Linked DNA regions of Notamacropus eugenii. The protein of the gene in region 1 interacts with the protein of each later gene in a pairwise test. Links are inferred from orthologs where the notes say so. Each region holds a gene or a part of one and is shown in the gene's direction. Other genes may lie near its edges.

Region 1 (16,596 bases):
GATGAGTAGAGAGAGCACTCCAGGTATGGGGGACAACCTTTTAACATTGCTTTGAGCCAGGAGATGGAGTGCTCTTTGTGGGAACAGCAAAGAGAATTGTGTCCCTAGTTTGGGGACAGGAGTATAAGGTATAAGGAGATTGTAAAGAACTTATCATTTAACACACAGAGTGAGCTTAGAGAGGTCAACAAAACACAAGATGGATGGAGATGTTAGGAAAAAAATGATTGAGACTGAAGAAATAGAAAGTTTTCTAACCTTCAGTTACTTTTCCTGGCCTCTTGTGTTTTTCTCTCTTATCTTGCTTTGGTTTTTCCCTTGCAGCTGTTCTTTTTCTCCTTTCTACTCAAGTTGGCACTCTGTCTTGCTGTCCGAACTTGGATTCTTTCTTCTTTTGAATTTCAGCACTGCCTTTGGATGGAGCTTGGGTGCAAGCCAGAAACAAAGACTAATCTTTAAGATGAACCAAGAGACACGATCCTAACTCACAGCCACTTGGAAATCACCCTCACATCTTTTATTCTTCCCGCAGGATGGATTTGTCCGTGTTGACCGGGATTATGTGTTGAAGTCTGCAGAGCTGGCAAAAGCTGGAGGCTGCAAACATTTCAACTTACTTTCATCTAAAGGCGCTGATAAGTCGAGCAGTTTTTTATATTTACAAATTAAGGTTTGTATAGGCTTCTGTTTTTAGAAACTGTTAAAGAGACTTGGCCATTCTAAATGATGACTTGACGAGTACATCTGGTCAGTGTGAATAATGATGACCTTAAATTTTTATACTTATGAAAAATATTTTACTGGGGAAAGGGTTGTTTTTAGCTTTGAAAATAATTTTAGGGTTACCTTACATTAGAAAATATCTCTCCATACTGACCTCTAGTGTTTATTTTGATTACTCATTGAGAATTCGCATCTATCAAAATCAGCAATTTAAGATTGCATTAACTTTTCTAGTAATTTCATCACACCATTGGCATATGGTAAGCTTGGGATCAATTAAGACCTTTTATTTTCAAATGAACTGCTCCTGTCTTCCTCATCCTGTATGTATGTAATTGACTTATTGAACTTAAATGCAGTTAAGGTCAGTAAAATATCATCTGACCCCATAGGTTATTACTAAAGATTTCCACTCAGCCCAGCACTATTAGGGCTCCCATTAAGCATTTAGGAAGGGGCAGCTAGGTGACTTAGTGAATAGAGCCCCGGGTCTGAAGTCAGGAAGATATGAGTTCAAATCCAGTCTCAGACACTTACTAGTTGTGTGATCCTGGGCAAAGTCACTTATCCTTGTTTGCCCCATTTCCTTATCTGTAAAAGTGGGACACCCTGGAGAAGGAAATGGCAAACCACTCCAGTATCTTTGCCAAGAAAATCCCATGGACACAGTCCAGTGGGTCATGTAGAGTTGGACACAACTGAACAACAAAACATTCAGGAACCATGGCCCTTCACCCTGGAAGAACTGCATGGTATCGTTTTTAAATTGACATCTGTCCTATTGTCAATATAAAAGTTTAAGATAAAATTTTAACTCCAAAGCTGAGTGCATTCTCAAAAGGAAAACTATGCAATAAAAATAATTTACAGATATGAATTCCAAGAAGCAAACAGTTTTTTTTTTGTATTGTTGACATAAAACAATGCAATGGGTAATTTAGGGAGGAAAAGAAAAAAAACCATTCAGAACTAAATGCATTAAGATGAAAGCAATTCTGTATTTTCTTAAGTTTATGTAGTGTTGCTTTCTTGGTACTGTTCTTAGATTTAAACATTCATAGAATTTTTTGTCTTGAAATGAAAGCCACTATAATCAATGGTGCCTGAAGCAGCATCTTTTCTGCTAGATCATTTTGATTGAAAAATTTTTTCCTGAAGAATCTTGTAAATTACTTTGCCTAACATAGAAAACTGAAGGTTTATAGGTTTATAAAATCCAACTCTCAAAAGGACTTTAATGATCATCTAGGCTCTCACCTTTATTTTATGGATGGGGAGGTTGAGGTTTGTCAAGGTGAATGGCTTGATTCAAGGTTATATAGCGAGTCAGATGATAGAACCAGGGTTAAGACCTGTGTCTGCTGATGCCCAGGGAGACAAAAACCTTAAGGGTAATCTCCTTAAAAGATGGTACATTGGAGCAAATAAAGAAGCAGATGAAGTCATGACTAGCTGTGTTAACCCTGGGCAAGCTGCTTACCAGATTAACATCTCTGGGCCAAAGTTTCTTGTTCTGTAAGATGGGCAGAAGGATAACTTCCCTCTGGTACGATGGGTATGTGGGTGGAGGAGTAGACCTACCGAAGTGCTTCATGGCCTGAAACCCTATGAAAGCCACTGGTCTGGAATATTAGTCTGAGAGCAGAGAGACATTTATTTTTATTATCACACAATGTTCTTGTTTCACACAGTCTGCGATTGCCTCAATGCAGGGAGCTCTCTTCCAAGCACTTTTTCTCTCAATGAAAATCAGAAATTTCTCCGTGACTTAGTCTTACACCCAAGGGGCACGCTTCCCTAAGGTCATATATGGCCCACAGGTTGTCAGAGGTAGAACTTGAACCCAGATCTTGACTTTGAAGTCAGCATTTTGTCCACTGCATCACATTTCCTCAGTGTAGTGTTAGCCTTCAACTACTGACCTCTGTGGCTTCTTTTAAGTCCCAACTAAAACCCCACTTTCTACAGGAAGCCTACCCCAATGTATCTTAATTCCAATGCCTTCCCTCAGTTAATTATTTCCTATTTATACTGAATATAGATTACTTCATATGTATTTGTTTACGTGTCTCCCCCATTAGATTATAAGTGCTTCACACAATGCCTGGAACATAGCAGGCGCTTGATGAATGTTTATTGATTGATCAGAAGTTTATCAGAGAATCTCAGGATTGAGAAAGGCCCTCAAAGAAAAACCTTGTACAGTTCTCTAGAAATGAACTTTTAGTAGGTCAGTTCATCTCTTTGAGCTTCCATTTTACCATCAGGGATTTGAATGAGATGGGCTTCTCCAGATTTAAAATTTTCTTATTTTTATATATTCACAAATCTGATAAAAGACCTATTTATACCAGTGCTTTGTCATGACATGGAGGAGACCCTGAGTTCTTGTATGCAATACTGGTGGGGTCAAAGATCTGGTAGAACCTGTCCATCTGATATGCCAGGTTGACTTTGAGTCTAAACTTAAAAATGACTGGATTTGAGTCATCTTTGCCATAGACAATACTTCTCTTCTAAGAACTAACTTGGCTAAGTGAGGAGAGACTCATCAACAGTAGGTGATAAATTTCTCAAGTCACCCACTAAGGCACTGTGTTGGTGGATGATGTGCCCACGGCTATAATCATGAATTCTTGGAATATTGAAGGAAATGAATCATAGGTACAACTCAGACTTTTGGGGACTGGCTACTCTGCAGAAGGTGAAGTCATTCTTATCTTGAATTTGTCGGAGTAGAGCAGGGAGCGATGAGTTGATTTTAATTAAATACTGATTTATTTTTTTAGGGTGAAGTAGAAGCCAAAGTTGAAGAACTTAACTTTGATCGGTACACAATTTTTAGGCCTGCGTAAGTATTTTAGTGCTGCATATACTTTCTTGCCTTCAGGACTAAATTCGGCTTTAGGGGAAGCTGATACTAGCTCAGATTTTTAATTTTTAGTCAAAAGCAGAAGATAATCATACATTTTGGGGATGTCATATTTTCTTGTACTAAATAATGAGGAACTAAGGAACATCTTCAAGACTTAGATAAAACCAGGGATAGGAAAGGATCATTGTGACAGTGTCAAGAACTTTGGTCTTGGACATTCCACTTGACTCCAAAGATTATATTTTTCAGTGCTTGTCCCTCTGGCTTTTATTCTGGTCTGTCTGTCTAGTCCAGAAATGGACAACTCAAGATGGCCAAGACAGTTTATTCTGTCAGCACTCTACAGCAGTGGTTGTGTGTGTGTGTGTGTGTGTGTGTGTGTGTGTGTGTATGTATGTGTGCAGTGGTCGTGTGTGTGTGTGTGTGTGTGTGTGTGTGTTTGTTTGTGTGTCCTTGCACTGATAAAGTCTATGGACTTTAGACTTACCATATAGCCTTTAGGACTTTCTAGATATTTACCATAGACTTTATGGATTCCTTTGAATAATGTTTTTAAATGCATAAAGTAAAATACATAGGATTACAAAGGAAACCAATTACATTGATATGCAGTTATCACTGTGTACTTTTTAAAGAATTCATAAACCCCAAGTTAAAAACCCCTGATTTAAGGAGAGCAGGGTTAAAAAGAACTACTCTTTCCTTTCTACTTTTGGGCAAGGTGGTATTAGCTTGTCCTGGTGACATCCCTGCCTTTGCTTTTGGGAGAAAGTGGGATAAGTATCTTTTTAGAGTAGCTAGGAAATACTTGCTGGGCATTATTAATTGTCTCCTTAATTTTTTTCCTTAAGTATCAGATGAAATCTTGTATCCAAATTCTTTCTAATTATGTATTTTATCATAAGATATTTGTTTTTCTCCTTGTACATTTTAGAGTCCTTTTATGTAACAGAAAAGAATCCCGCCCAGGTGAATGGTTGATCAGAAAATTCTTTAGTTCACTCCCAACCTCTTGGGCTAAAGATCATTCGGTACCCGTTACAACTGTTGTCAGAGCAATGGTTAATAACCTAATAATGCCAAGTGACAAGAAGAGGGAGTTGCTGGACAACCAGGCCATCCATAACCTTGGGGAAGCAGAAGACCTTAACAAGCCATGATCCCATTAGGAAAAAAAATGCCATTTCTTCCTGATTGCCTTTGATTGTCATGTTGACATTGTCAAGATAATAGGAATATAGAACTATATAGTTTACATATAACATAATAATTTGAGGCCCCTTGGTGGAACAGTTGATAGAATACTGCATTTGAAGTCCAGAAAACTTAGTCCAAATCCTGCTCCAGACATCAGCTATGTCACCTTGGGCAAATCACTTCAATATTTCTCAGCCCTAGAGTCTTCATCTGTAAATGATTATTATAAATAAATAATAGCACCTACCTAACAGGGTTGTTGTAAAGCTCAAATGAAGTAATGTATGTAAAGCTCTTTGCAAATCTGAAAACATTCGATACATATTAGCTATATTATTTGTCTGAAAAAGTTAATTTATTTAGTAATTCCTAACCTTTATTTTTGACGCAGTTGGGTTTAAGTGACTTGCCCAGGGTCACACAGCTAGCAAGTGCCAAGTGTCTGTGGTCGAATTTGAACTCAAGTCCTCCTAACTGTAATGCTGGCATGCTATCCACTGCACCCTTTTTGGAGGCAGCTGGTGTTACCTAACTTATTTAAATGTCAAAATTATGGATCTGACTCACATGTTACAGTATCAGCTATTGAGAAAATATGTAATCAAAAAAATCTACTCTAGATTCTTTTAAATGATTTAATATTTTTATTAATAACAGCATCTATATAGTTTTTTTAATAGCCATTTATATGTGTGTGAAACATTTGATCTATGGAAGGCTGGTTTATTTATAGCTTTGCATATTAATTCCTTTAGCCTTGTAATAACCCTGCGGTCCTTTGGGGTTCTGCATTTGAGAGTCAGTGATCTAGTCAAAACTTTGTGTGGTCTTTTCCTCAATCCATTAGAACCCCAGTACTTCTATTACATGTTAATTCTGGTCCATTTTCCTAATACATTGTCAATTCTACTTGTCGTATGCAAAGCACTCCTTCTTAAGTTATAAAATTGTTTTTAAAAAAAGATTCGTTTGGGGACTTTTTTTCTCCATGAATGGAAGCATGGTTACAGTGATCCAATTGGTTCAGATTACAGAGGTTGTGGCATACTGTATGTACATGGTGGCTTAAATAAGTCCTGTGCCTTTACTGATTATTTAAAATACACAATAAAAAGGGAATATCTCGAATGATATTGTGGTTCTTGAATTAAGCAGAAAAGCAACAAAGGTTACATATAACTCTTGTTAACCTTTTTTCTTCTGTCCTGGACCCCTTTGGAAGACCGAGTGAAGCCTATAAATCCAATCTCAGAATAATATTTTAAAATTTGTTAAATAAAATACAGAGGAATATAAGGGAAATAAGTTATTTTGGAATATAATAATCAAAATAGCTATAAAGTAAGTTCATGCATTCCCTGAACTAGGCGGTTCTTTAGCTGTAGGTACTAGGACTAGAAGAAGACCCCAAAGTTACTACCTGGGGGCTTCCTATTGTTACATTAATGCAAGAGGGTTGTGCACAGCATCTGGCACATAGTAGGTGTTTAATACATGCTTATTGACTTCACTATCCACTGGAATTTACAGGAACTCCTTTTAATGGTTAGTAAGGCATCTCATTCAGATTACTGACAACTGAAGTTGAGGTCTCTCGTTGTTCATATGGCTGGACTCAGATCACTGCAGAGTTGAACCAAGAGATGTTTAGGGAATCTCTGCAGTTCTCTGAATTTAGAAGGGAAGGGGCCTTAAAGATGATCACACCCAACCCCCTAACCAGCGATGATTCCCCACTCTAATATCCAGCCTCTGCTTGAACACCAGTGGTGGCTGTCTACTCCTAAGTCAGCAAGCCTTACTATGTGCCAAGAACTATGCTAAGCACAGGGAATATGAACACAAGCCCTCAGGTAGCTAATATTCTAAAGAAAGATGACATTGCTCATCCTTTCATGGGAGAAGACCAATGACATGAGGGTGATGTCTAGACTTTCCAGTAAATTGGATTTAAGTCAGGCAGAGCTTGGCAAAGATGTAAATCTCACTCTCCTTCCATGAAAGGAGACAACACCTAAAAGGGAGTGGAAATGGGCAGAGGAGAAGGTACCCACACTGGGGCAAGGTGATGAAGCCTGGAAGGAGCAGAGCCAGGAGAAGAGTGATGAACTGCTGGTTGGAGCATTGCCTCAAAATAGAGGTTCCAGGAGGAATTCACCAGTGGGAGGAGGGATTGCAGGAGCAGAAGGATCATCCAGGGCAAGAAGGGAGCTGGGACAGGGTGGAGAATCTTGGAAGTGGAACTGGGGGAGGACTTCAGATGATTTATTGTAATCTAATTCCTACCTTTTTCAGTTCTCCCTTCCATAACTTGAATGTTCAATTTCCATTTCATAACACAAACAACTTTTCAAGTATTTGGAGAGAGCTATCATTTTCCTCCTATAGCCCCTCTTATAGCCCCAACTTGTTTTCTGTGCCAGACTATCCACATCTAGCTTTTCAATTGATTCTCATATATCATAGTTTCAAGCCTTTACACAATCTTGACTTTTTTTTTTACATGCTCTAGTTTATCAGTATACCTTCTAAAATGTGCCTACTACTGAAGACAGCCTAAGTAACAGTGCAAATAGATTTTTATTTTGTCTGTATCTGTGATTTCAGGGCAGCTAGGTGGCACAGTGAATAGATGGAGGGCCTGGAGTTAAGAGGACCTGAGTTCAAACCCAACCTCAGACACTTAAGGGCAGTGTGACACTGGGCAAGTCACTTAACCCTGTTTGCCTCAGTTTTCTCATCTGTAAGATGAACTGGAGAAGGAAATGGCAAACCACTCCAGTAGCCCTCCCAAGAAAAACCCAAATGGTGTCAAAAACAACTAAACAAATCAATCCTGTTATTTCTTTGACATATGTAACTCCTGGTAAGGAAAATGCTCCCACCAGCATGGTAACTATTTTTCAATGTATAGATTTAGGGGGCACAGAGATTAAGCGCTTTGCTCAATGGTCATGCAGCTAGTATGTTAGAGGTGGGAACTCTAGATAATGTATTATTATCTAGAGTTATGGTATACATAAATATACCATTATGTAGCTTATGTATTAAGCTACATAATGCAATTTATGTAGCTTAAGATCACATTAACTTTTGGGACAGCCCACATTCTACTGATACTAAGCTTTTGTTGCAGTCAGGACAAGATCTCATCTAAGTTTTGTATTATTTTCCAATGCCTCATGCAAGGCTTTGTACATTATAATTACTTAATAAGTATTGGTTAAATGAATGAATTCAATTAATATTTAAGTGACTAGTATGTACAAGATAGTACATGGGAAGCACAGAAAGATATGAAGAAATGTAAAGTATTGTTCCTACTTTCCAGGAGTTTAACAAGCCATCCAGTTGAACTGGGGCTTGTGAGTGTCAGGAAACCAGACTGAGTTTCAGTACCTGGGACAGTGTGATGAGTAGATGATTGTGGACTGAGTAAATGAGTAACCAGTTGTAACTCCTTGACTAGTGTCTATATACTTCAGAAAAAAGATATTTGCACAGTGAAAGTCACGGTAACTTTCAGTTGAAACAGTTCCTATACTTGGACCCAGAGAATCCAAATATCACCATCCTCTAACCTTATAAAGTGGGGTTCTTTTTCCATTTCTATGATTTCATCCCTATAGGGAATTATCTGAACTATTGCAGTACAGAACCTACTTTACAATTTATAGTCTAGAGTTACCAAGAGGACCGGAAAGGTCAATTAACTGGTCTAATAGCTAGTATGGGGCAAAGATGGGGTGAAAATCCAGGTCTTCCTGACTCTGAGGGCAGCTCTCTATGCCATGAAGCCACCGATGCTTCTCATTTCCATATTATGAAAATTAATAGTTAAAATTAATAGAACTTAAAAAAAAATGGTTATTAAGGACGATTCAGTGCGCTAATAGGACTGCGAAGCTGTATAGCCTAGCAGCCAAGTATAGCGATTGGGTAGTTTAGGGGGTGGTGCTATAGGTATACTAAGAAAGGGGATATTAGTGTGACCTGGTATTTTAAAACTGAAAGGGACCTTTTAGTTCATTTAATCCAGTTCCCTTGTTTTATAGATAAGGAAACTGGCCCCTAATTGTGACTTAAATAAGGTCATAAAGGGAAATAAAGAGATAGAGCTCAGACTAAAAGTAACCACCAGGATGCTTTTTCATCACTCTGCAAATAGCTCTGATTTTAGATACGGATAGGAGGGCGATGACATTCCAGCTTTGAAATTAGCCTGGCTTGCCTCCATGATAGAGGCTCGGGGAATGCGGCATCTGCATAGGCTGTCTGCAGTGCATGTGGGCAGGATTGTTTGTTTTAAATTTAAGAGGACATCCTCGGTGCCCTGGCCCGTTGCAGATCCTCCTCCCCCTCCTCCATCTAAGGGCTCTCAGCCTGGTTGCGGCGCTGCAGCACCTGGGGGAGGGGGGGATGTAGAGGGAAACAATGTAGCAGGGAAGCGTTTCTTGGTTTCCTTTCCTCCAAGGGCTGGAGGGAACGGGGCAGGGAAGCTGCAGAGAGGATCTCAGAGGCCATTTAGTTCATCCTTTTACGCCCCGGAAGGCTGAGTCACCTTTCCAAGGTCACAGAGACTAAGCTTAGGAAACGGGATTTGAACCCTGGGCCTTCCTCTGCTAAGCCAGGGACCACCAAGAGCGGCCGCAGCAAAGAGAGAGCTCTAGCCACGCCCTCTTTGCAAAGGACACGCGGGGGCGGGGGGATCAAAGGAGGGGGAAGGAAGAAGAGTCCCCACCACGTGACACCCCTTCCCTGCTCGCGGAGACGGAAGAGGGTGCGCCAGATCGCGCGCGCGCAGACCGTCCTTCCCTTCCCCCACCTCCTTCCGGCCCTTCTCTCTCGCCCCAGAGCCCCCTCACTCCAGACCGCGTGCGTGCGTGTGTGCGTGCGTGAGTGCGTGCCGGCTGCCCCCAGGCCCTCGCCCCGTGGACCCCACGCTCCAGCCCCGCGCCCCGCCGTCTTCCCCCTCGGGAATCGCTCCCCTCCCCGCGTGCAGGCGGCCGCCATGTGCTCCCTAGCAACGGGCGTCACCGGTGGGTATCCCCTTCCTCTTAGCAACGGGGGCCTGCGGCGGCCCAGGCCTGCCGGGCACGGCGGCCGGGCTTGGGCCGAGGCCTCAGCTTGTCTTGTGCTTGTTCAGGCGCCGGGCGCCGTCTGGAGGCGGCTGAGGAGGAGCCGCCAGCCTTGTCGGACAGCGGAGACGAGGCGGCCTGGGAGGAGGACGAGGACGAGGACGAGGAGGCAGACCCCCGCCGCGAGAGGCAGCAGACCCCCTGTCTGTTCTGTGACAGGTTCGTTGGCTGGCCCCCGGGAAGGGCGCCGGCGCGAGGCCCAGCCTCAGTTTCCTCACCTGTAAAAGGCTGTATGTGAAGAGGCTTGGCAGACTTAGAGACCTGGGTTCGAATCCTACGTCAGACACTAGGGTGTGACCCGGGGTAAGCCTCTTAACTCAACGAGGGGATTGGACTACACACGTGCTTGACCTCTGGTCCTTTCCACCTCGAGTCCCCCAAGTTCAAGTCAAAACATCAAGCATTTTTAGTACGCACCTACTATGTGCTAGAGAGCTGGGAATACAAAGAAAGGCAAAAGACGACTCCTGCTCTCCTGGAGCTCCCAGTCCAATGAGGAAGACAATCTGTAAATAACAATCTACTCATTTATCCTGGGGATACTCCGAGGAAGGGAAGAAGGAACGAAAGTTAGGGGGCTTCTTGCAGAAAGTGGGGCTTAAGCTGAGACTTGAAAGGAAGCCAAGAGGCAGAGATGAGGAGGGGGAGAGCCCCGGGACTGGGAGACAGCCTGGGAAATCTCCAGGAGCTGAAAGATACAATGTTACAGGGGAGAAACATCAAGGAAAGTAGAGTCACTAGATCTCCCAGGGCTTGGGGTAAGGTGTAAGAAGACAGGAAAAATCAGGGACTCTAGGTTCTGAAGGGCTTTGAACCCCAAAGGATTTTATATTTGCTAATATAATAGGGTTATGGAGGGGAGGTTACAAGGTTAGACCGGTACTTTAGAAGGAATTGAAAGCTGAGGAGAGGATAGACCCAAGTGGAGAGAGACTTGTGGCAGGAAGACTAACCAGCTGGCCTTAGCAATAGACAGGGGTAAGGAGATCAGGTCCTGTAGCAGGGTCAGGTTATGAAGGGCTTTGGAGAAAGGATTTTAGATTTAACCTGGAGCCATTGCAATTTATTGCATGGCAGATAGGACAATCATTTTGATAGCTGAGTAGAGGTTTGGCCAAAGAGGGAAGAGACTTGAGTTCCCTTCCAGCTCTAATATATTACCCTTCTATCTAAATGCTAGCCCTAGTATCTACTGAGAGGTCTTTCTGTGATCTGCATCAGTCTTAGGGGACGGAATTGTGTGACCTCAAGTCACCTAGCTTATCTCAAGGGAGGCAACATGGTGTAGTGGAAAGACTCCTAGATTTGGAGAGCACCTTGCTTCCAGTATTAGCTCTGTCATTTATAAGTTGTGACTTTGTGCTTAATAAATGTTTTCTCTCTATATAAATATTTTGGGCCAGTCACTTCATATCTCCAAGGCTGTTTGCTTAACTGTAAATGAGGGAATGAACCAGATGACCTCAGAAGGAGGAACCTTCTAGTTGCCTTTTGGGGCTTCAGTTTCCTACACTTAAATGGAGAGGTTTGATAGATAATCTTTAAAACCAGCCCTAACTGCTTATAAAAATGTTATATTTGAGTTCTGAAGTTCAAATTGAGAGATAGTAATTAGTAGTATTTTAATTGAGAGTTGACTGCGACATCTTTTGTTGCTTCAGTATTCTCATTTATGCTCTTTGTGCAAGAGGGCGCCTTTGTATCATGTGTTACACTTTCCTCTAAAGAGTTTTCTGAAGTTCGTATACCTCAGTAATCAGATCCTCCATTTCACAGATGGGGAAACAGGTTCAAAGAAGTCTAAGCCAGTGGCTTGGATGAACCTCTAAAGAGTATGTATATCAAATCTGAAGATGAGTGATAAAATTGAGATTTTGAAAGTTTTTGGCTGGCTGGAATGAAGGTTTGAATCAAATCAGGTGAAATTTAATTGGGTTAACATAAAGTTCTGTACTAGGGTTCAGAAATTAAGATGTACAGATATTGATTAGGAAATGTGTAGTTCCATAACATGAATTCCTAGTTAGCACATTTGTAGTATTTTGTTCAGTTCTGGTTGCCTCATTTTTAAGAATGATGTTGACAGAATGGATTGTGTTGAAACTAGGACATTTAGAAAGATGAAGTTACTTGAAACTACCCTAGAAGTATCATTTGAAAGAACTAGTTATGTTTAGCTAAGAGAAGAGAAGACTTGAAAAGACATATTTTCAAACTTTAAGTGTAGAAAAGAGATCAGACTTTTATTTTACTTGGTCTCAGAGCAGAGCTAAGAGCAATGGGTAGAAGTTACACAGAGGAAGGGTTTAGGTTGGTATGTGAAGAGCTGTCCAAGGTGAGAGGGCCTGTCTCTGAAGGTAAGACCTCTCCATCTCTGGAGGCCTTCAGGTGGACATTGGAGGGGGAGTCCTGTTCTAGGTATGAGGAGCCCTCATTTGCTGGGAATTATGGCAGTTACAAATTTTGAGAAAATTCCTCCTGGAGAAAAAAAAAGGTGTGACCCTAGCTATGATTTGAATGAGAAAAGAAGCCTGATCACATCAGAAATTGGAATTTTCCAGAAAAATCCAGTCATTAAGCTGAAAGACTTAAGGGTGGGAGATGAGAGAGGGGGAAGGAGAAGGGAATAAGCATATATTTCATGCCTCCTACATGAGAAGCTCTATGCTAAGAACTTTATAAATGTCTCATTTGATTCTCATTGCAACCCTGTGAGGTAGGTGCTGTTTTTATCCCAATTTTACATGTGAGGAAACTGAAGCAAATGAAGATTTAAGTGATTTGCCTAATGTCACACAGCTAAGTAGGTGTCTTAAGGGTTTGAACTCAGGTCTTCCAACTCTAGGCCCAGCGCTCCATTTACTCCTGTGCCCCCTTTAAGGATATGGATACGCACACATATGTGTATGTGTACATCTTACATATATATGTATATATTATTATCTGTAGGCAAAATAAAATGATTCTTTTGATAGTGTATATCCCCTCCTTGCCCTGCTGTGGTAGTGATGCTATGGGGAGGAATACCTTCCATCCATAAGATTCTGCAATTCTGTGACTTGTCCAAGTTCACATGACTAGTAAATGCCAGGGCTGCTCAAAATTCAGTCTCTTAGCTCCCAGTCTGGTACTTTTTGTTTTCCTTGTGCTGCTACTCTCTGTGAATGTTGCTGTCTTGTTACTCATTAGGATAACAGGACTTAGAACTTAAAGTGACCTTCAAAGTTATCTCATCAAGCACCTCATAGAAGTTAACTGATTTCCCAAGGTCACACAGAATGTTGAAGAGCCAGTATCAAACATGTCCTTAGACTCCCAGTCCTGTGCACTTTCTACTATGTCATGCTCAGATTCACAGCTATATTTCCTTAGGTCTGATGAGTTCTACAAATCCTTACTTGGTGAAGAATTTCATTCAAACTAAATAATTGATGCACACGTACTAGCACATATGAGACATTTAATCAGTTGTTCTCAGTAATGCTATTCAATATAGTTTACTTTAAGCAAAGTCCTAGTTTTTGTGTCCTTCAGTTTTGCAAGTCACATAGTAAAGAACTTTGGACTTCACGATGCCATGTACGTTTGGAATGCCAAGTAGGTTTGGAACACTACAAGATCATTTTGGAAGCTTTAAAATCCTGTGGGAATGTGCCAGATTAATAAATTGTGCTTTATACTTTTTTTCTCTAAAAGCATTTTGTGCCAGCTCAGAGCCTTTAAAAGTGCAGTTTGCACTTTGAGGAGAAGGGAAGAATTCCAAGTAGAAAATATTCTTTATCATTTTTATCAGAGAGAAAGAAAAAAGGCTTTATGTGTCCAAGACATTTTGTAACAAACAATCTTATGAAATAGAAATTATTGTCATCTTAAAGACAAATGAACTTTGGTAGTAAAAAGACAAATGTTTATATTAGTGCCAAATAAAAGCCAGACCTGGTAGTATGATGTAGTGAGTGGTAAGAATCCTGGAGCATGACTCAGGAGACCTGGATTCTTGTCCAGGTTGTGCTGCTGGTAGGCAAGGTGCAACTAAAATTGTGTCTTATCTTAACTCAGGATTGGATGATCTCCAAAATTCCGGCTCTTGAACTTTGTGATTCTAAGGACTAATTTTGATTTGAAGTAATTTACAGTTCTTCTTTTGCAAAAGTCCTACTTTTATATCTCATGCTTTGGAGGTGACCCTGTGTTCTTGAAGCCTATGCAAGTGAAAAGCAAGTCTTGGCAGGTTCCAGCAAACTGGAAAGACTTCAGATATTATTCCAGCTATAGATTATTTCTTTTGTCTGGGAAATCAGGCTAAATGTGGAGATGTTAATCACTAGAAAGCTGGAGAATTTTTGGCAACAGTAACCCATGAAAGAAAAAAAGCAGCAAAAAGTTCCTCTCTGATGCTGACTCCTTTTCCAGTGATAGTGGCATGACAGGAGAAGGGATAGAGAGGTACTTAAGCATGGCATGGTTCCTAAGATTGTTTGTAAACATTAATTCAACTGCTTTTATTGTAAATGAATGAATGATCTTTGTCCAACAACCACGAATTGATTACAGTAGGAACTGAATTTCATCCCTATTGACATCACTATTATTGAAGCAGAGATGTCAGAACAAAGTTGCAGCTAGATGGAAGGAAAGGTCAAAGTCATCCTAAATTTAGAAAAAAATTAATTAACAATTTATATTAATTAACAAATTAAAAAGTTAGCAGAGTTGGTTTGTATGATATTACACTCAAAGGCAACAGTAAGAACCATCCTTTGATGGGTTGCTTGGTCATTTTGTTTTTTCCTCCTCACAGTGAACACAGCCTCCTGGTTGGCACTGATTCCCTCTGTCCTTAATTCTTCTTCTAGTGGAGGAAACCCAGTTTCTTTTCTCTATTCTGTTCCTTAGATTCACTGTCCAAAGGTGGCAGGCCTCTCCTTTCTGGTAGACACTTTGATGTGTCCTGCAAACTCTTGGGCCTTGCCATCCACCCTGTACCCTTGGGGCCTTTGGGATTTCTGTCCACTCTGAAGATGAACTCCTCTGCTGCATATGTTGGCTTTCCTGTTTGTAGTGTTAGGTCCTTGAGATCAGGAACTTTTTCTAGTCTCTGTCCCCAATACCTGGCACATGGTTAAATGGTGTTTTTTAGTAAAGGGTTTTTTTAATTCATTCAGAGACTGAATAAATTGAGAATTCTGTTTAGCACTTGACCTTATCCTCTCCATAAAGTAAATTTCTAGAGATCAGGGCTATTTTGTTTTGGTCTTTTGTGTTTCAAGTGCATAGCACATAGTACGCTATTAATTTTTATTGTATTGAAGAGCCTGCAAAATAATTGAACATTTACCTTGTTACTTGTTGACTTCCACACAATTGGGGAAGAAAGGTGAATTCAACTAAATCTGCGGTATTTTCAGCCTGGGAAGGAAAATGTGGCTTGAGATAAAGAAATACAAGTTCCCTTAAGCTTTTAGAAGAATGAGAATCCTTATATCACATTTAACAAACTTTCTTCAAGGAGGCAGTGAATAGAGTGAGCCCCCAAAACAAAATTAATTATATTTTGATAACAATGAAACAAATTGGTTATAGATGTGAGTCCTTCCAAACTCAGCTGACTGTACCAACAGATAAAACGAACTGGTCGGAACAAAGGTCAAAACTAGAACCAAACGAGAAGAAAGGATAAAGATTTAAATCAAATAGTGGCATACCACACTTTCAGAAGAATTACAATTCCAGCAGTGATGACTTGCAAGTGACAAAAGATACTAATAAGAATATTTAGAGTAAGAAATAACAGATGCTGAACCTGAATGTTGCACTGGTACGTATTAAAATGTTAAAAGAACTAATGTGTAGGGCTTTTTAGCACAGGAAATGGATCCTTTGCGGTATACTAATGGAAAGACAGGGACAATATTTACACAATATGGGAGGGACTGGTAATGACTGTGAACTTTTTAATCACTGGAAGTGGTACCCATTTTGAAGAGATAACAGATTCATTGAAATATGATATGATACTCATTTAATATTTAGAGCAATCAGGTGACTCAGTGAGTACAGTGCTGGGTCGAGAGTCAGGAAAACCTTAGTTTAGTTCTAGCCTCAGACATGTCTGTGACTGAGCAGGTCACTTTACATCTGCCTCAGTTTCCTTCTCTGTGAAATAGGAATAATAATAACCTCCTAGGGTTTTTGAGAGGATTAAAAGAGATAATATTTGTTGGAGTTTTGGAAACAAAATTCTATATAAATACTGCTTGTCATTATTCCTTGGCCTGTATCCCTTGAAGCCTTTGCTTACATTTCAGGTTATTCACTTCCGCTGAAGAAACATTTTCTCACTGTAAGTCTGAACATCACTTTGATATTGACAACATGGTGAATAAACATGGTAAGTATTTTTTTTTAATTGATTCATTTATGTTTAGTTTTCAACATTCATTTCCACAAGTGCTGATATAAATATTTCAGTATATGTATATGGAGCCTTTGTTATTTTAATTCTTTTCATTCTGGACTTAAACATTGAAAAATGAATATTTCTACATACAAAAAGGAACATGAAAAGATTATATATAAATCCTCTAATCTTAGATTATTTATAAATCCTCTAATGTTACCAGCAGGTTACTTTAAAAAATGTGTACACACATGTGTCTGTGT
Region 2 (16,210 bases), on another chromosome or scaffold:
TCTGGGTCCAGTGACCCGGTCCATCAGGATGACTGGAGATGGCCCAGGATGCAATGGGAGACCTTGGCCTTTTTAGGCTGGCCTTTTCAGGTACTCAGAGGGAGGTAGCACCTTGAGTGAATAGGCCTCTTTAAGAAGTAGTCAGGGAATGACCCTTTTAATGAACAAAAGAAAAATAACTAAATCAACAGAAACTGTTGCTAGTGATAATCATTGTTGTCCAGCCCATGGGCTTCAGAGTGTACTGGCTTTAAGGTTTTGGGAACGAGAAGGAAAAGAAGGAAGGAAGGAAGGAAGGGAAATCTAGCTAGTAAACTCCAAATCCCCAAAGGAGGGTCAGACAGATAGAAGGGAGAAAATGAGCTGGGTTCCCACTCAGGTAGCTGTGCCTGCTCACAATCAGCGTTTGTCCTTCATTTTTGAAGAAGACCATGACGTTGAGATTATAGACTTCACCAGACTGCCAAAGGGATCCATGGAAAAAAAAGGCTAACCCCTGGCTTTATGGTTTCGCCCAGCGTTATGAGTCACCCTTTCCAGAATGTGTTCCAGCTTATTAATGTCTTCCTTCTTAGACTCTATCAGACCCCAGCTCTTAATATTCCTCCAAACCCCAACCATGCTCCTGGGGGTGGGCGTGGAGGGGTGGTGCCCATTCTCTCCCAGCTCAGCTCTAAAACATGCCATTAACAATACTTCAAATATTGTTTGACAGGTCAGATCTTCTTCCTTCATATCCAGTGTAGACCCTGGTTCTACTTCATTAATTCAATTACTGTCATGTCATACTAGAATCTCTCACACACCCCTGCCCCTGACGTTTCTTACTATACTCTTCTGTTAATCTCTAAATTTGGAGGTTATCTGCACTGTCCAGCTAGTCTGCTCTTAGGGTCCTTATTTTAGGGCAATCTACATGGGGAGGAGCCCTTGTAGAGAAGGGGGATCTCATGGCAACAGAAATAGGCTGCAGTGGAGACTGGGCCATGGAGGTCCTAGTAATATATGGAGTTTGGGGATTATCTCAAAGAGACACATGCTCCAGAAGAGTTTGGGGGGGGGGGGGGGGCACAGTGTGTAGACAGGGTAGTGCCTCAGAGTAGTGTTGGAGCTTCAAGGACAATTTTTAGACCACAGAGGACTCTCTCAGCAGTGTAGACTGGGCAGTGGAAGAAGGAAAAGCTGTTTCAGGGCTACTGAACTATAAGACCTAGGTTCAAACCTCAGCTTTAACACTTAATAACTATGTGATCAAGGGCAAATTAATCTTTCTGAACTTGTTTTTTTCATCTGTAAAATGAGGAGGATGATGTCATCTACTTAACAAGGCTGAGTGAGAATGAAGCAAAACACTTTGTAAAACTTAAATGGGAGAGTAAATGACAGCTATAGATAATATTGTTGGGGTATCCTCTGGGCAGCATAGACAGTTTCCTGGGGAAGAGGGGTACTGCTCAAGGCTGCAAGATATGGGGATGAAGTAGTTTTCTCAGAGGAGATGGGAGTCCTTGGAGGGAAATGTAACTTGGGATACCCTGTGTGTGTGTAGGGCGCATCGCAAGGCTGAGGAACAAGGCTTGGGACCCCTTGGGCTTCACCTTTATTCATCCTTCTCTATTTACAGTCATAGTAGCCTGGTCTTCCCCAGTTTTCCCTGGAGAAGGTCAACCCCAAGGGAGGGGATCTGGGCAGGAGTCCTGACCATCCAGCTGGGCAGGCGTTACACAGCAGCCCTAGGTGTCTCGGTGTTGATGTTGGATACATCCATGCTTTCCTCCTCTTCCTCCTCTTCCAGGAAGGTCTCCAGCCGGGTCAGCTGCCTTCGGATGAGGCTGGTGGCCCGGTGGATCCGCCTCATTCGATGTTGAAGGCGAGAGACTATGGCCCGGCCTTGTGCTCTCCGGCGGCCCCATGCCTCTCGGAGCTCACGGTAGCAGTTGTGGCTCTCCCTTTCAACAGCTGTGAGTGTGGTCCCACAGCCGAGGGGACAGCGCTGCTGTTGCCTGTGTCCACAACTCCGGCCATGTTCTGCTAAGGCTGCCCGCTGCACCCTAGCCATGCAGCCTGCATTAGGGCAAGGGGTGAGCTCAAAAGGACAGGAATCCAGGTGGATCCTACGCTGAGATAGGGGACAGGTGACACAGCAGCCAGCCTGGGAATTCTTGCACTGCACAGACACAGAGACAGAGTAAGGGGACACAAAGAAAGACAGAGAAGAGAAAGGTAGAGATGGGGGCAGGGGAGAGAAATAGAGAGGACAGGGGAGAGAGGAAAATAGAAGAGGGAAACAGAGTGACAAGAAAGAAGAAAAACAAGAGACAAAAGATGGAAAAGATCAGTAAGTAGCTCTGGGAAGCTTAAATTTAAGTTCAGCCACTTCTTATTGATAATATCCTCTCCTGGACCAAACCAATCTGCCTCCAAATACTGGATGGAAAGTAGTGGTTTTGAATGATCTATGCCCTCAGTCCTTTCCCAGTGTGGATGATCAAGGGACTGACATCAACAGTTACATTGGTTCTTCCCCTTCCCAACCTCTTGAAAAGTGAAGTTGCTTCCTGCTTTGTTTGATGGGTACTGCCATACCTTGACTTGCAGGCGGCCAATGGTTTTTCTGAGTCTGTGCACCTGGACCATCAGTTTCCTCTTCACTTCTTTCCTACAGCAAGGACATGTCTTTTGTCTGGGGAAGAGATAGAGAGTCAACAGACCAGCTTACCAGGCATGTTCCTTAGGAAATAATCCATACCCACCCACTACAGAGTATTCTGGACAAATGTTCCCATGACCCTTTGTAATGTGTTAGCTTATTAGCTAGCAGAATTCATTGAGGGAGCAATGGTCTCAAATATCTCCTCACTACTGGAAGGAAAGGGAAGAGGAGGGTGAAGGAAATGAGTTGGGAATGGCTGGGGCGGGGAGAAGAGGTAGTCATTGTCTGGGACCTTCCTAAAAAGGATTTTTTGTATAATGGATTTTCTTAAAGTGGAGTTTATCTTTAATCATGTCCTTGCCTTATTTTCACCTATACTGACACAGGTAAAAATGCCTACACTCATTCCCACTGAGTTGGGAGCGAGATTGCATATCCTACCTAGCCAGCCAGGTTAAGATGCATTTCTTGCAGAAGATATGCCCACATGGCAGTTTCACTGGTCGCTTGAGGACCCCGTGGCAGACAGAACATAGCAAGGCACAGTCTGGGGGGCTGGCAAAGAGGTTGAGATCATATCCACCACTCTGTAAGTTCAACCCAAGAAAGAACAGAACAGAGACATAGGATTAGTGACCAGGAGAAGATGGGATCCTCTCTCCCACCTGGCTTCTCTTCCCCTCCCCAACCTGCCCACTGGGGCATCAGCAAGAGGCTGGTTGTCTGATGTCAATACAAGAGTCCTCCCTCCTTTTCCAGAAGGAACTCAGCCCTTGAGTGCTCTATAATCTTTGAAGGCATGCTAAGTAACTTCACTAAAAAACAGGCACTCTGGCCATATAACCAATTGTTTACTAAGAAGGAAAATGGGACAAACTGGAACGAGTGTTCGATTTCTGGTCAACCCCCACCCCCCCACCTGTTCTTTAGTCATCCAGCACACCACGGGGGCCTGGATAAGCCCAAATCACATGCTCCAGAACTGAGTGCTGAGGTCATGGTCACATTGCCAATCTGGAGTTTCTGGAAGCCTGTACCCTCGGGCCAGATCATTCATACACTCCATTCATTCAAACACAGACTAGCAGTGATCATCAACTGAATTAGTAAAGTTTCTCTTAACACCAGATTCAGGCTTCCTAAGGAGTATTGTTCAGTTGTGTCCGACTCTTGGTGACCCCATTCGGGGTTTTCTGGAGTGGTTTACCATTTCCTTCTCCAGCTCATTTTACAGACGAGGAAATTGAGGCAAGCAGGGTTAAATGACTTGCCCAGAGTCGCACAGTTAGCAAATGTCTGAGGCTACCTTTGAACTCAGGTCTCCCTAACTCCATCTAGCTGCCTAAGTGTACATCCCATTTATTCTCAGCACTATAGTATTATCATGCTTTTTCTTTTTCTACAGCCCAAAGGATATACATTAACATAATAAAGAGAATGAAACCAGTTCGGAGGGAGAAATAACTTACCAGAGGTCACTTTGCTGCCTGAGACTGAGCCAGGCCTAGAGCCCAGATGTCTTTTTGGGGAAAGGTGAGACAAATTAAGGCAGACAAGAATCTGGGGAGACTTTTAATGGGTTGAACAGGGCTTATAGACCCCCACTACCACTCTGTTTAAGCTTCTAGTGACCTCCCCTAAGGAAGGTGCTACTTAGGGTCTCTGGAGCCAAAGGAACAGGCCCCCAGGCAACAATTCTCCCTTCTTTTGCCCTTACTATGGTGTAATGTACACTGAAAAATATGTGTGTCACCCCTTCACAGAGAACAGAAGTGGAGGAGAAGGCATGAACTCACCATGCTCGTGGTCTTGGGCAGCCGCACTACTGAGCCAAGCCAGGCTCAGACCCCATTTCACACCTCTAGTTCAGGTTGACATCACAGTCTCATTGTCTACCATCAACCAATCACAGCCTAGTCCTAGGGGCAGAGCCCGGCCAGAAAGGCTGATCAGGACCCAGTCAGGGGTGTTCCTGTCTTTTCTCCCTAGGTACCAGAAGGCCACAATGGGGACAGGATCAGACTGCAGTCATGGTCTGTTATCAGTTGCTTCTCCACTGTATATACTTTCATTTGATTCTCATACTCTTTGGCGGAGGACCGTGATGGTTTTTAACCTTTTTCACTGATGAAAAAACTGAACTCAGGTTTCTTCCAAGAGACAATGTAGTCCTTAATTTTACTGAGAAATTGAGGCCCTGGAAATTCAGGACTTTTTCCCACTGCAGACTTATGACAAGCTGTTGAACTCCAAGTCTAGGAGCACTGAACAGCCAAGTTAATTGCTAAATGAATGACTGTTATTCTGCCAGGGGATGACAAGCACACAATGAGTTCTAGAACTATCTGCTAATTTCCTATGATTTTTTGCAGAGTTCTTCCCCCTTTCTGGGCATTGGTAAAAATAAGTTTTGGATCAATGACCTTTGCTGGAGATTTCCAGTGTTTGGAACCTTCCCATTAGGAATCTATTTTTAAAAATTCTAGGCCTCCCCCATCCCCACTGCCAGGCTATAAAGGGATAATTACAATTTGTACTCAGGATCCAAAGGAGCCTGGAACCTCCATGCATTTAAGCACTTATTATGTACCAGACACTGCTAAGTCTAAGAGCTACAAAGAAAAAAGAGCATAGTTAGTAAGATTTCAGTAGTCCATGGTGGTAAATAAGGTCTAAGATGGAAAGGCAGGAGGTGGCCAGGTTATGAAGGACTACATAAGGTAGAGGATCATATATTTGAACTGGGAGGCAATAGAGAACTACTGAAGTTCATTGAATAGGGGCATGACAGTCAGACTTGCACTTATGAAGTGTCTTTTTGTTTCCTGAGAGCCATGAGAAATAACTCATTTTGCTAATGGGGAAATGTAAAAGGTTGTCACTTACAAATTACTCTTAAGATGGCAGCAATCATAACAAGAACCCAGAGCCAGTGAGATGGAAGCTTTTCAAATTGCATATACCACACACACAAAATGACACTTGGTTAATTGAGCTTTATTAGTCTCCTAGGTAAAAAAAATACAACAAAAAAAACAAAAACAAAATTATAGTGTTCACCTTCCATGTAACTCAATCCAAATGGCTGGCCCCTTATTTATCCATTAAACAAACAGTTGTACTATACTGGGGATGTACTCTAAACCGTCCAAAGGATTGATCCCTGCCCGCATGGATTTCAAGGAAACATTTACTGCAAAACGGAACTTTAGAAATCATATAGGAGTGATTGAGGTGAGCTCTTTAATCCATTATACATCCCCTCTCCGTTTTCCTCCAGTCTCAAAGAAAGCCAGACTTTCTGTACAAGTATCCTGGGTTTCTATACCAAATTTCTCTACACTCATTTTTGGTTATCTAATTAGCTCTGGATACCCTATGTGCACCTTCAACTTAAAATAGCCAAGTAAGAATTATTTCCTCCAAATAGCCTTAACTTTCCCATTACCCTCTGGTTCATACATCCATATCTGACCTTGTTCCACATCCATCCCCTTCTCGGTACTCTCACTCAGAAGCCCAAATTATGTCCCTGCCTCCCTTCAATTCTTCCTTACACACAAGTATCAAGTTGATATTACTCAAAACACAGATATCACATCACTTCCCTGAGTTCAAGAAGCTTCAGTAATTTCCTAGTGTCTCCAGAATAAACAAGATTTCTGTGTGGCTTTTCAGTAATTCACAATTCACTTCCACTCTATCTCTCCTGGCTTATTCCCACTTTCATATTCTGGCCAAACAAAACATTCCATTTGGAATGTTGTTACTGCCCACCACTTCTTAGATTCCTGATGAACCCAGTAGCGTGTGCTCTTCCCAGCCCATTTCTATCTGTGTTCGGTTGCGTGACCCTGTCACCTGCTGGACCCATACTGTCCAAGGGATTTTCTTGGCAAAGACACTGGAGTGGTTCATCATTTTCTTCTCCAGTGGATTAAGGAAGTCTGCCAAGGGCACAGAGCTTTTGAGTATCTGAGGTTAAATTTAAACTCAGGTCTTCCTGACTCCACACCCAGCAAGTCCCTAACTGCCTCCTAAGGACACAGAGGCGAAGTTACCTGCCCAGTGTTGGATCTGAACTCAGGTCTTCCTGACTCCTGCAGAGTATGTGGAGCCCACAGAGCAGGATCCACTTCCTTTTCGTCTGACCCCTGCCCCCCCAGATCTGTCATGAACTGGATACTTGGGGCTCATTGCCATCTTAGCTACCTCTCTTTCCCTACCCCCTCACTCCGCTTCTCCAGTATGTGGATCGTGGTGGGGGCGGGGGGCGGGGGACGGGACAGCAGGGGGTCGGTGTCAGCGGCGGTCCACTTCGCTGCGGGCCGGCTCCCTGCGCCTCCCCACAGAGGGGCTTTCCGTGCTCGTACCGGGACCCCGAGGTGGCCGTTCCAAGAGCTGGGCCTGAGGAGGAGAGGAGGGTTAGTGGAGAGGTCCCGCTGCTCCCACGCCCGACCCCCCCCCATCACGCGCCAGCATTTGTCGGGGCCTGGGTTTTATCCCCCACACTCAGTCTATGGGGGATAAGCTTAAAGACCCCCGGTGGCTGTGGGCGCCGTGGTCTCACCCGTGGCCATGGGAGCAGGCTGCGGGTGATTTTCAGACGACGCCGGCTTAACCCCCTTCCCGACAGACGAGCGCACCGCGGAGGCCCGGGCGCGAGATGGCAGGAGCCCTGAAGCTAGCTGCCTTCAGCTCCCCCTTCCCCGCCTGGCCGGGGTATTCCTTACCGGAGACGAGCCACGTGGGCCGCGGCTCCCCCACGGCCCTCCCGGGTACAGCACACTCGTGCTAGGAGGAACACCTTCGGATTGAAAGAAGCAGGAGAGCCCGCTTCCTCTAAATTTATACCCATGCTGCTAACCAACGCGGTTCCGGAGTCCCAGGGATCTGCTTCCGGGTCAGAAGCCTTAGTGGCGGCAGGAGTGCTAGGCCACACCTAGGCAGAAAAGTTGGAGGGGGCCGGATTCAACCAATCACAGAAGCCTCTCCGTTAATCTGAGTAATTCAGGAACCGGAGTTTCCGTCTAGAAGTTATCGCGAGAACTAGCTCCATATAAAAGGTTACGTTGCGTCTCACTCGGCCTTCTACTTCTAGGGAACACGTGAGTGGCTCTTTCTTGCTGCGGTATTTGGGGGGGAGGGGAGAGGAGAGGTGGGGAGAGGGCTGGGAGGACTCCGCGGGGGTCGCCGCCGCCCTTCCCTGGGGGGACGCGTCCCAGCTTGGGCCGGGCCGGGGCCGGGCCTGTCGGGTGCGGTGGGGCGCCCCGCGGAGGCTCGGCCCGGCATCCGTTGGGCCTCCTTCCTGGTCCGGGCCCCGCCGGCGGGTGTTGGTCCGCAGCGCTCGGGCGCCCTTCGATGCTGGCCCGAGCCTCTGCTTGGGGTGGGGGGGAAGGGGATCTCCGAGCCCCCGCTCTCAGCTCCGCTGACCAGGGTGTCTTCTCACAGCAAATGGCGGACGACGCCGGTGCCGCGGGAGGTGCGGGGGGCCCCGGGGGCCCCGGAGTCGGAGGCCGGGGTGGCTTCCGCGGTGGCTTCGGCAGCGGGGGCCGAGGTCGGGGCCGGGGCCGCGGTCGAGGCCGGGGCCGCGGCCGCGGGGCCCGGGGAGGAAAGGCCGAAGACAAGGAGGTGAGTCCCTGCTGCGCTGCGGGGCCTGCGCCTAGCTCTTAGGCTGCCGCCGGGCAGCCCCGGGCCGGGGGTGGAGGGGGGATGGCCAGCGCCCCCCGTAACCTACGGCTCTCCTGGTGTGTCTAGTGGGTGCCTGTCACCAAGCTGGGCCGGCTGGTCAAGGACATGAAGATCAAGTCTTTGGAAGAGATCTACCTGTTCTCCCTTCCCATCAAGGTACAGGGGAGGTGGGGAGTGGCCTTCCGGGGGTCTCTACCAGGGAATCTCCCCAACGCCCCTCCCCAAATACACATTTTTCATAGTCCCTCCAACCACTTTTCACCAAGAGAGGCCGCTTGTAGTAAGGAAGGAAGGTAACCACAGCACAGGTGTGCTAGCCTGGTGGCCAGGAGATGTAAGGGGTAGTGGACTAGCCCTGCCTTGACTGACAATTTACTTATCCTCACTTTAACCGTATAAATGACATCTCCCATTTTAACAAGGGGGAAAGTGTATTTGCCTCAATCGCTAATTGTTTAGGAAATCTTGGTTTTTCAGAGACCTTATTTCTTAAAAATACGGTGGTGTCCATATTTACATATAGTACGTATATATATATTTGAGTCACTGAATCTACATGAGGTCTAGCCTCTTAACCTGAAAATGAGGGTAGGATTCAACTCCCAAGGATCTCATGGAGCCAGTGTGTAAATCACTTTATCCAATTTAAAACTTGAATTGTGTATAAAAACTTAGATACTGTCTCCACTAGGAATCTAACCTAATCTTATTTTCCACAGGAGTCTGAGATCATAGATTTCTTCCTGGGATCTTCATTGAAAGATGAGGTTCTGAAGATCATGCCTGTTCAGAAACAAACTAGAGCTGGGCAGCGTACCAGGTTCAAGGTAATTTGTCTTCTTGGGTTAATTCAACCCACGCTTCATTTTATGGGCCCTCACAGTTGGCTGAAATTTGTTATATTTGTGATTTTGCAGTGAAATTCATACCCCCATCTCCAAATTATTTGGGGGAAAGTTCTCTGCCATCCTGGTGTTCTTCCTTACTAAGCAGTCATAGTCAACTAAATACAGGGCATCTGGCCACCCAGCTAATGTTTATATATGGGAGGGAGTTTTAAGAGGTCCTTCTAAAAGCAGTTTCTCTGTAGGCTTTTGTGGCCATCGGTGACTACAACGGCCATGTTGGTCTGGGTGTCAAATGCTCCAAGGAAGTAGCCACAGCTATTCGTGGTGCTATCATTCTGGCCAAGCTGTCCATTGTTCCTGTGAGACGTGGCTACTGGGGGAACAAGATTGGCAAGCCTCACACGGTGCCCTGTAAGGTAAGAAATAGGAGTATAATAAAGGGCTGTATAGCCTGTTGCCACATGACAGGAGAGGTGGGTTATCACTGAATTGCTCTTTGGTCTTCAGGTCACTGGGCGATGTGGATCAGTTCTGGTGCGCCTGATCCCCGCCCCTAGAGGCACTGGCATTGTCTCAGCTCCTGTGCCCAAGAAGCTCCTGATGATGGCTGGAATTGATGACTGCTACACTTCTGCAAGAGGATGTACTGCCACTCTGGGCAACTTTGGTGAGTGAGCTTTTAAAATACTCATGCTGGCAGTATAGCTTTACCACTGGTTGGCAAAGGAATTTAGGTTTTTAAAATAACATTTAGCTGCCCTTAGTTACACTAACAAAGATGAGATTATTAAAACCCAATGAGAGATTTTAGTGTTCTTTGTAGTGAAGAATGGAGCTTGCATTCTGTGGTAGAGGAGGCGTATACATAAATTGGAGGACTAATTTGGGGGTGTCAAGACACTTTGTGTAGATAACATGTGAATTGAGCAGTGAACAAAGCTGAAACTTCTATGTTAGCACACGTGCATGAGTAGGATTGGGATTTGGAAATGGGGGGGAGGGGTGGTGAGGAGTCAGGTTAATGTTGTTTGATGCCATTGTTATCATTGATTACAAAATGGGTAAGCCAAAAGTGAGATGAGACTTGACAGCCCTAAGGGCACTTAAACAGTATGGCTCTGGAGAACTGGAAAAGAACTTTTTGTGAATTCAGAGCAGAAAAGGTGAACTGAAGGTGGTTCCGTTCACTGAGCATGTGAAGTCTTTGGAAGATTTTTATTTTCTAAAATGAGTTGGGTTAGGTGGCTAGTTAATTACATGTAACTTCTTTCAACAGCTAAAGCTACTTTTGATGCCATCTCCAAAACATACAGCTATCTAACCCCAGACCTGTGGAAGGAGACTGTGTTCACTAAGTCTCCTTATCAGGTATGATATGATGGGAACTTGGGGGGGAAGTAGAACTGAGACAATTTGGGAAATAATTCCCCATCTCCTTAGCTCTGCTCAGTTGCACTTGGCCAAGCATGGTGTGACTGTCGTACACAGGAGAAAGAACAAGAATTCCCTTTGACAACAGCTTGACCTGCTGTGGTCTATCTGTTTCTATGGGATTTGACAACTAACTTGCCTAAACTGGAGGTTGTGTTGTACCCAGGAGTAAGTACAGTGAATGAAGCTTGTTTTGAAATTGCAGGAATTCACCGACCATCTTGTGAAGACTCACACTCGAGTGTCTGTCCAGAGGACCCAGGCAGCTGCTGTGGCAACCACATAGATGTTTTTTGTAAACAAATAAATTGAACCATAAATTGAACTAGATACTTGTAGTGGTCATTATTGATTGGGGAGGAGAGGGAGGCCAGACTGAAGTGGTTTACACCCCACCCCCATTTGCCAATCTTTTGGGCTTGATAAAAATACGTTACACAGATAGAACTGCAAAGACTTTTATTATTGGGAATAGAGATCAGTCAAATTTTGCTAAGTCAGGCGGCTGCAGCTTCCTTGGCAGCTTTCCGCTCAGCAAGCATTCGGTGCTTCTGCTTTGCAAGACATTTCCGAGCAGATGAATTGGCTCCAAGTTCATGATCTGTGAAGGCAGAAAAGCTTATAGGATTTAGGACCACAGGATTTTGATTTGTCAAGCAGGTTAGAGGTAAAAAGTTGTGCCACACCAGGCAAAACCCAGGGCTTAAAACCTACCCAGTCTTATGATTCCTAACAGTGAATCATCATACTTGATGTATCATCAAATCACATTCCTGCTGGCTAACTTCCACCCACAGACCACTGAGGCAAAGAGTAGCTTGTGTATATATATGGACCCCATCACTCACATCGATCCTGATAAGCTTTTGCAACCTCATGGAACTGTTGGAGTTCTTTCATACAGTTCTGTTTATAGCTGTCTCCTTCTCTCTGCTGACAGGCCTTCAGTCTTTCCTGAACAATATTAACAATTTCTTGATCAACTTTGCTGAAAGAAAAGGAGAAATGGGTGACTTACTTTTCTTGGCTCATGCAGCTAAGGAACATTCACTCATCCACCTCCCCAAACTATATACCTTGTCCAGGGTAGGATAGTGAAACCTACTGAGCAAAGGGCCAATTACATATTTGTAGGGTATCTTTATAAGCAGCATGCTGTGACTGATTAGGACAATATAATGAAGGTGTAAAGGGTGATTCTGGGGTACTGTAGAAACAATAAGTGGCATACGTACTAGTCTCTCTTCCACTGCATTTCTGCTTCAAATATGCACGCAACATCCCCCTGCTTGCACTCGGTTATGTCTGGTACTCGGCGGTATTGTCGATGATAGTAATAGGTCTTATTTTTGGCATGTTGTTGCTCGATAAATTCTGCAAGAGAAAAAGTCCATTAAATCCTTAATCAGTTTCTACAGAAAATTCTCATGCAGCACTGGAGTCTAGGTACTCTTAAATGTGTAGTATAAAATATTAGCTATTAAATTACGTACACATATGTAATTAAATATTAGCCTGACATTTCAGCTGCTAATCTTATTTTACTCAGTGATTACTATTAGGCCTCCCAAAGGCCATCCCCCACCCTTGGTTCCTACAAGTGCCCGATTAGCACTTTCTCATTCTCTCATCTGTCAAGCTCTCATCATTCCGAGGCTCTTGATGTCTTTTCAATTAATAGTATTTCCCTCTTCTCAAATACTCCTAGAGCATTTGTCTCAGCTGTCCCCATTGTTCCCTATTTCTATTAATAAAGTAAAATAATGCCTTGTATTTTACTTACCTATTCCCTCTTCCCTGCTTCCCCCCATTTCCCCTGCACAGCATAGATGTTGAATGGATTTGCTTTGGATCCCAGCTCAGAAATGATTAGAAGTTTTCTGGCTTTTTAGGTGGGTGGAAGATGACATGATTTTTTTTCTCTTTCCCCACTCTGTAGACTAATCTAGGGTAAGCAGGGGGTGCAGCATTAACACTTGAGAAGCCCCCACAACAAAGGGGGTTCACATGAACATCTGTCATTTTATGAAGAAACTAAGCTGAGTGGGCTTGAAGATGACCATATCTTATCTCTAGTCATCAAATCCTACTTTACATCTCAACTGAACATTGGGATGTGGGATACCATTCCATCAGATTGCCTGTGTTCATCCTGCAGGCAGTCGGTTTGCTCCCCCCTTCTCATCTGCTCCCCTTCCTCCTCTTCCCCATCCCTAACTTTAATGGATCTGAATATCACAACCAAAAAGCCCCACGCTCTCTAAAACCAAGAAAGTACAGACAAATCTCAATTATCTTAACAAATGGATAAGTCTGATCCACAAACATTCCAAAAGTCCTTCCTGTTTGCTTTGGAATGTATTATACCATGGTATATCTCACTCAAAACAAGGATGACACAAAAAACCTGAACAACAAAAATGAATGCTGTTAACTCCATACACAGATTGTGGCACTTTCCTCACAGTCAGGTCTCACAAGGTCTTTCTAACAATTTTGGTTACATATCTCCCGACCTACAGTGGATCAAACTACAGATAAAAGGGATGTGAAGGACTGCTACCGGCAGATGCTGAGAAAAGCAAGATGTGACAGCTGCAAGTCTGAAAGTGGAAGGAAGCAAGGCAGATTACAATAAAATGACTTGCACTCTCAAGGAGTACAGTAGTTAGGTCACATTATAGGACCCAATAGCACCTGAGAGGATGACTGAACTCTATAGCCCCAAACACCTGGAACCTGTCAGTGGCTCCACCAACTAAGACTGTAAGTTGCCAATTCAAATGGGTTGAAGTTGGGAGTGGAGAGGAAATCCATGCACAGATAAAGTTACAGGCGCAGACAGTGACATATTTAACAACGACCTAGTAATAAAAAAAAAAGAAAATGATTAAAATATTGAGCAAGGCACTGTCAAAGATATCTGTTTAAGAAAACAGCAAATGAGCGGCCAAAAACTGGAAATCAAGGGGATGTCCATCAATTGGGAAATGGCTGAATAAATTATGGTATGTGAATGTAATGGAGTACTATTGTGCTATAAGAAATGATGAACAGGAAGACTTCAGAGAGGTCTGGAAAGACTTATATGATCTGATGCTGAGCGAAAGGAGCAGAACCAGCAGAACTTTGGGCACAGCAGCGACCACAGTGTGCGGGAGTTTTTTCTGGTAGACTTGGATCTTCATAGCAATGCAAGGACGTTAAAAAAAAAAAATTCCCAATGGTCTTCTAAGGCAAAATGCCTTCCACATTCAGAGAAAGAACTATGGAAGTCAATCGCAGAATGCAGCAGATCATTTTGTGTGTGTGTGTATGTGTATTATGTTTTGGTTTGATATTTCTCCCATTTATTTCAGTTCTTCTACACAGCATGATTATAATGAAAATGTATTCACCAAGAACATATGTGTAGATCCTATATAGAATTGTATGCCATCTTGGGGAGGGATGGGAGCCGTGGGGGGTAGGTAGAGGGAAAAAAAAAATCTAAGTTTTATGGTAGTGATTGTAGAGCATTAAAAATAAATAAAATGAATATATTTAAAAAATAACAGTAAAAAAACCCCCCCAGCAAACTGGCAATTTAATAAAAAGACATTTGCACAGCTCTAAAGTTTGCAAAGCACTTTATATAGGTTTGAGCCCTATAACGAATAACCCTGTGAGGTAACTGTTATCATGATTTTGCAGATGAAAAATTGAGGCTCAGGTTAAGTGCTCTGCCAATAATCCCAAGCTGGATGTGAAAAGAGAGATGAGTCCAGCTCTTTTTGACTCTGGGTGAAGCCCTCCATGCACAGTGCTATATCGCTTAATTTAGAAAAATTTCCAAGCCAATAGTTCAAATGTTCAAAAAAATTCTGAACATTCAAAAGGGGTGCTCTTTAGTAACATGGGAAATTCACTTCCAAAGAACAGCTCCTTAATGGGTCGAATAAATAAATTCTTCTTGTACTGCCTTTGCAGAAGATTTCCTCTCCTTACATCACACCTAGCATTATCACTCAAATCCCACTGTTCAAACAGAGGAGTCAAAATACCTGTAAAAGGAAGCTTAGAGTTAAAAAAAGAAAAAGCCTACTTTTGGAGAAGTTAAGATGCCAGGTTTCCTTTATCCTTTTTCTTTCTAGTTAATGGGCTAAGCCTCAAATGTTCTGCTATGTCTTATGGGGCCAGGTGCAGCCCAAACCAAGCTACTCTGGGGACATTTCTTGAATAACTGCCCAACTAAACCTGAAGTCTATGAAAACGGGACTTCTAAGTAAGATTTTTACTTTCTTTGTATATAATTTATTTCTAAAAATTTATTTATTAGGGCTAGCTTTCTCTACCTTACCAGGCCTGGAAATGCAATGGCTACCCCCAGTCTCAATGCAGATAGGTAGAGAAGCTTTAACCTACACCATTTTTCTGACTCAGGCCTCTTCACTCCTCCTTAGAAAACCTGGTGGTCTTCCCCTTCCAGGAGTTCACCATGGCAGTGAAGGACTGAGCTCAGACACCTGCTCAGCTTAAGCCCTACTGTAGCTCCAACCCCCCCAACCTCAAGCCTCTCCAAAGCAGCAGGGACTACAGGTCTTGGTCTGGTCTTCGTAAACCCCATCACCAAATAAAGACTATTTCAGTGACTAAGCCTCAGATTCCCAGGGGCACTGCGAACAGCAGACACTAAGATGACATACTGATGTCACAAAGTTTGTACATATCTCTTCTCACCTAGACTACACCAATACCTGTTCTTTTCACCACTAGTCACTGCCTCTCCAAACCATCATTCACACTGCAGCCTCATCATGACATTCCTATTTCAAAAGCCTTCATCAGCGGCTCTGCATTGTCTATGGAATAAAGCATAAAATATCGATTCTGGCATCATCTCTTTTACTATTAATTACCTCCACTCCATGCCTGGAATTCTTTCCTCCCTCATCTCTGCCTCTTGGCTTCCCTGACTTCAAGATTCTCATTTTCTACAAGAAGCCCTTCCTGATCCCCTTCAGTGCTAGTGGTTCCCTCTGTTGAGGATCTCCAATTTTTCCTATACATAACTTGCCTGTACATAGTGTTGACATGTTGCTGCTGGTGTGCCCTTCCTCCACCCCCAATCCCATTACACTATGAACTCCCTGAAGGCAGAGACGTTTTTGTTCATTTTTTTGCCTTTTTTATACCTCCTGGAAAATAGTAGCCACTTAAGATTGCTGACTCTGCCCGACATTCAATGAAACTTAAAACTCCTTAAGAGCAGGACCTACACTAAATCTATTTTGTATCTCTATCTCCTACCAGAAAACACTTCTTGAAGATTTATAAAGGGCCTCAAATGCAAGCAGCTGTGAGCTTTCTTTGTACAGAGTACATGGAGTCCCACAAGAAGCTGTGTCTCTGAAGGGTTGGGGCAGCTACCTCCCAGGCGCCACACAATCCCATCTTCTGTACTGGGGAGTCCCTGGGTTAGGAGACAGCACAGGAAGCATGAAGGTACCCCGAGGGCAGAGCCACCAAAGGACAGTAAGGATGAAAAGGACCCTAACACATCCAATTCTTGAAGTGACAGAATGTGGTCACTGCATCACCAGTTTTC

What was found.
Region 2: the proteins of PRMT3 (region 1) and RPS2 interact in binary tests that used the Homo sapiens proteins (3 or more experiments, as listed by UniProt). The link is inferred for Notamacropus eugenii from reciprocal best matches to the Homo sapiens genes PRMT3 and RPS2.

The regions. Positions count from the first base shown.
Region 1 is NC_092877.1:29,737,411-29,754,006, reverse strand, and holds the start of PRMT3 (protein arginine N-methyltransferase 3), read left to right. Parts: upstream 1-9,563; 5' UTR 9,564-9,806; coding exon 9,807-9,834; intron 9,835-9,941; coding exon 9,942-10,092; intron 10,093-10,213; exon of another isoform or gene 10,214-10,236; intron 10,237-16,241; coding exon 16,242-16,324; intron 16,325-16,596. Other genes in the region: oxidoreductase HTATIP2, read left to right, coding at 533-670, 3,513-3,574, 4,533-4,758. UniProt on the Homo sapiens protein: Protein-arginine N-methyltransferase that catalyzes both the monomethylation and asymmetric dimethylation of the guanidino nitrogens of arginine residues in target proteins, and therefore falls into the group of type I methyltransferases.
Region 2 is NC_092872.1:48,374,444-48,390,653, forward strand, and holds RPS2 (small ribosomal subunit protein uS5), read left to right. Parts: upstream 1-7,746; 5' UTR 7,747-7,761; intron 7,762-8,104; 5' UTR 8,105-8,107; coding exon 8,108-8,284; intron 8,285-8,410; coding exon 8,411-8,500; intron 8,501-9,063; coding exon 9,064-9,171; intron 9,172-9,434; coding exon 9,435-9,608; intron 9,609-9,699; coding exon 9,700-9,859; intron 9,860-10,468; coding exon 10,469-10,560; intron 10,561-10,622; exon of another isoform or gene 10,623-10,755; intron 10,756-10,828; coding exon 10,829-10,909; 3' UTR 10,910-10,948; downstream 10,949-16,210. Other genes in the region: RNF151 (RING finger protein 151), read right to left, coding at 1,721-2,167, 2,587-2,683, 3,095-3,240, 4,450-4,452; NDUFB10 (NADH dehydrogenase [ubiquinone] 1 beta subcomplex subunit 10), read right to left, coding at 11,121-11,224, 11,472-11,611, 11,859-11,997.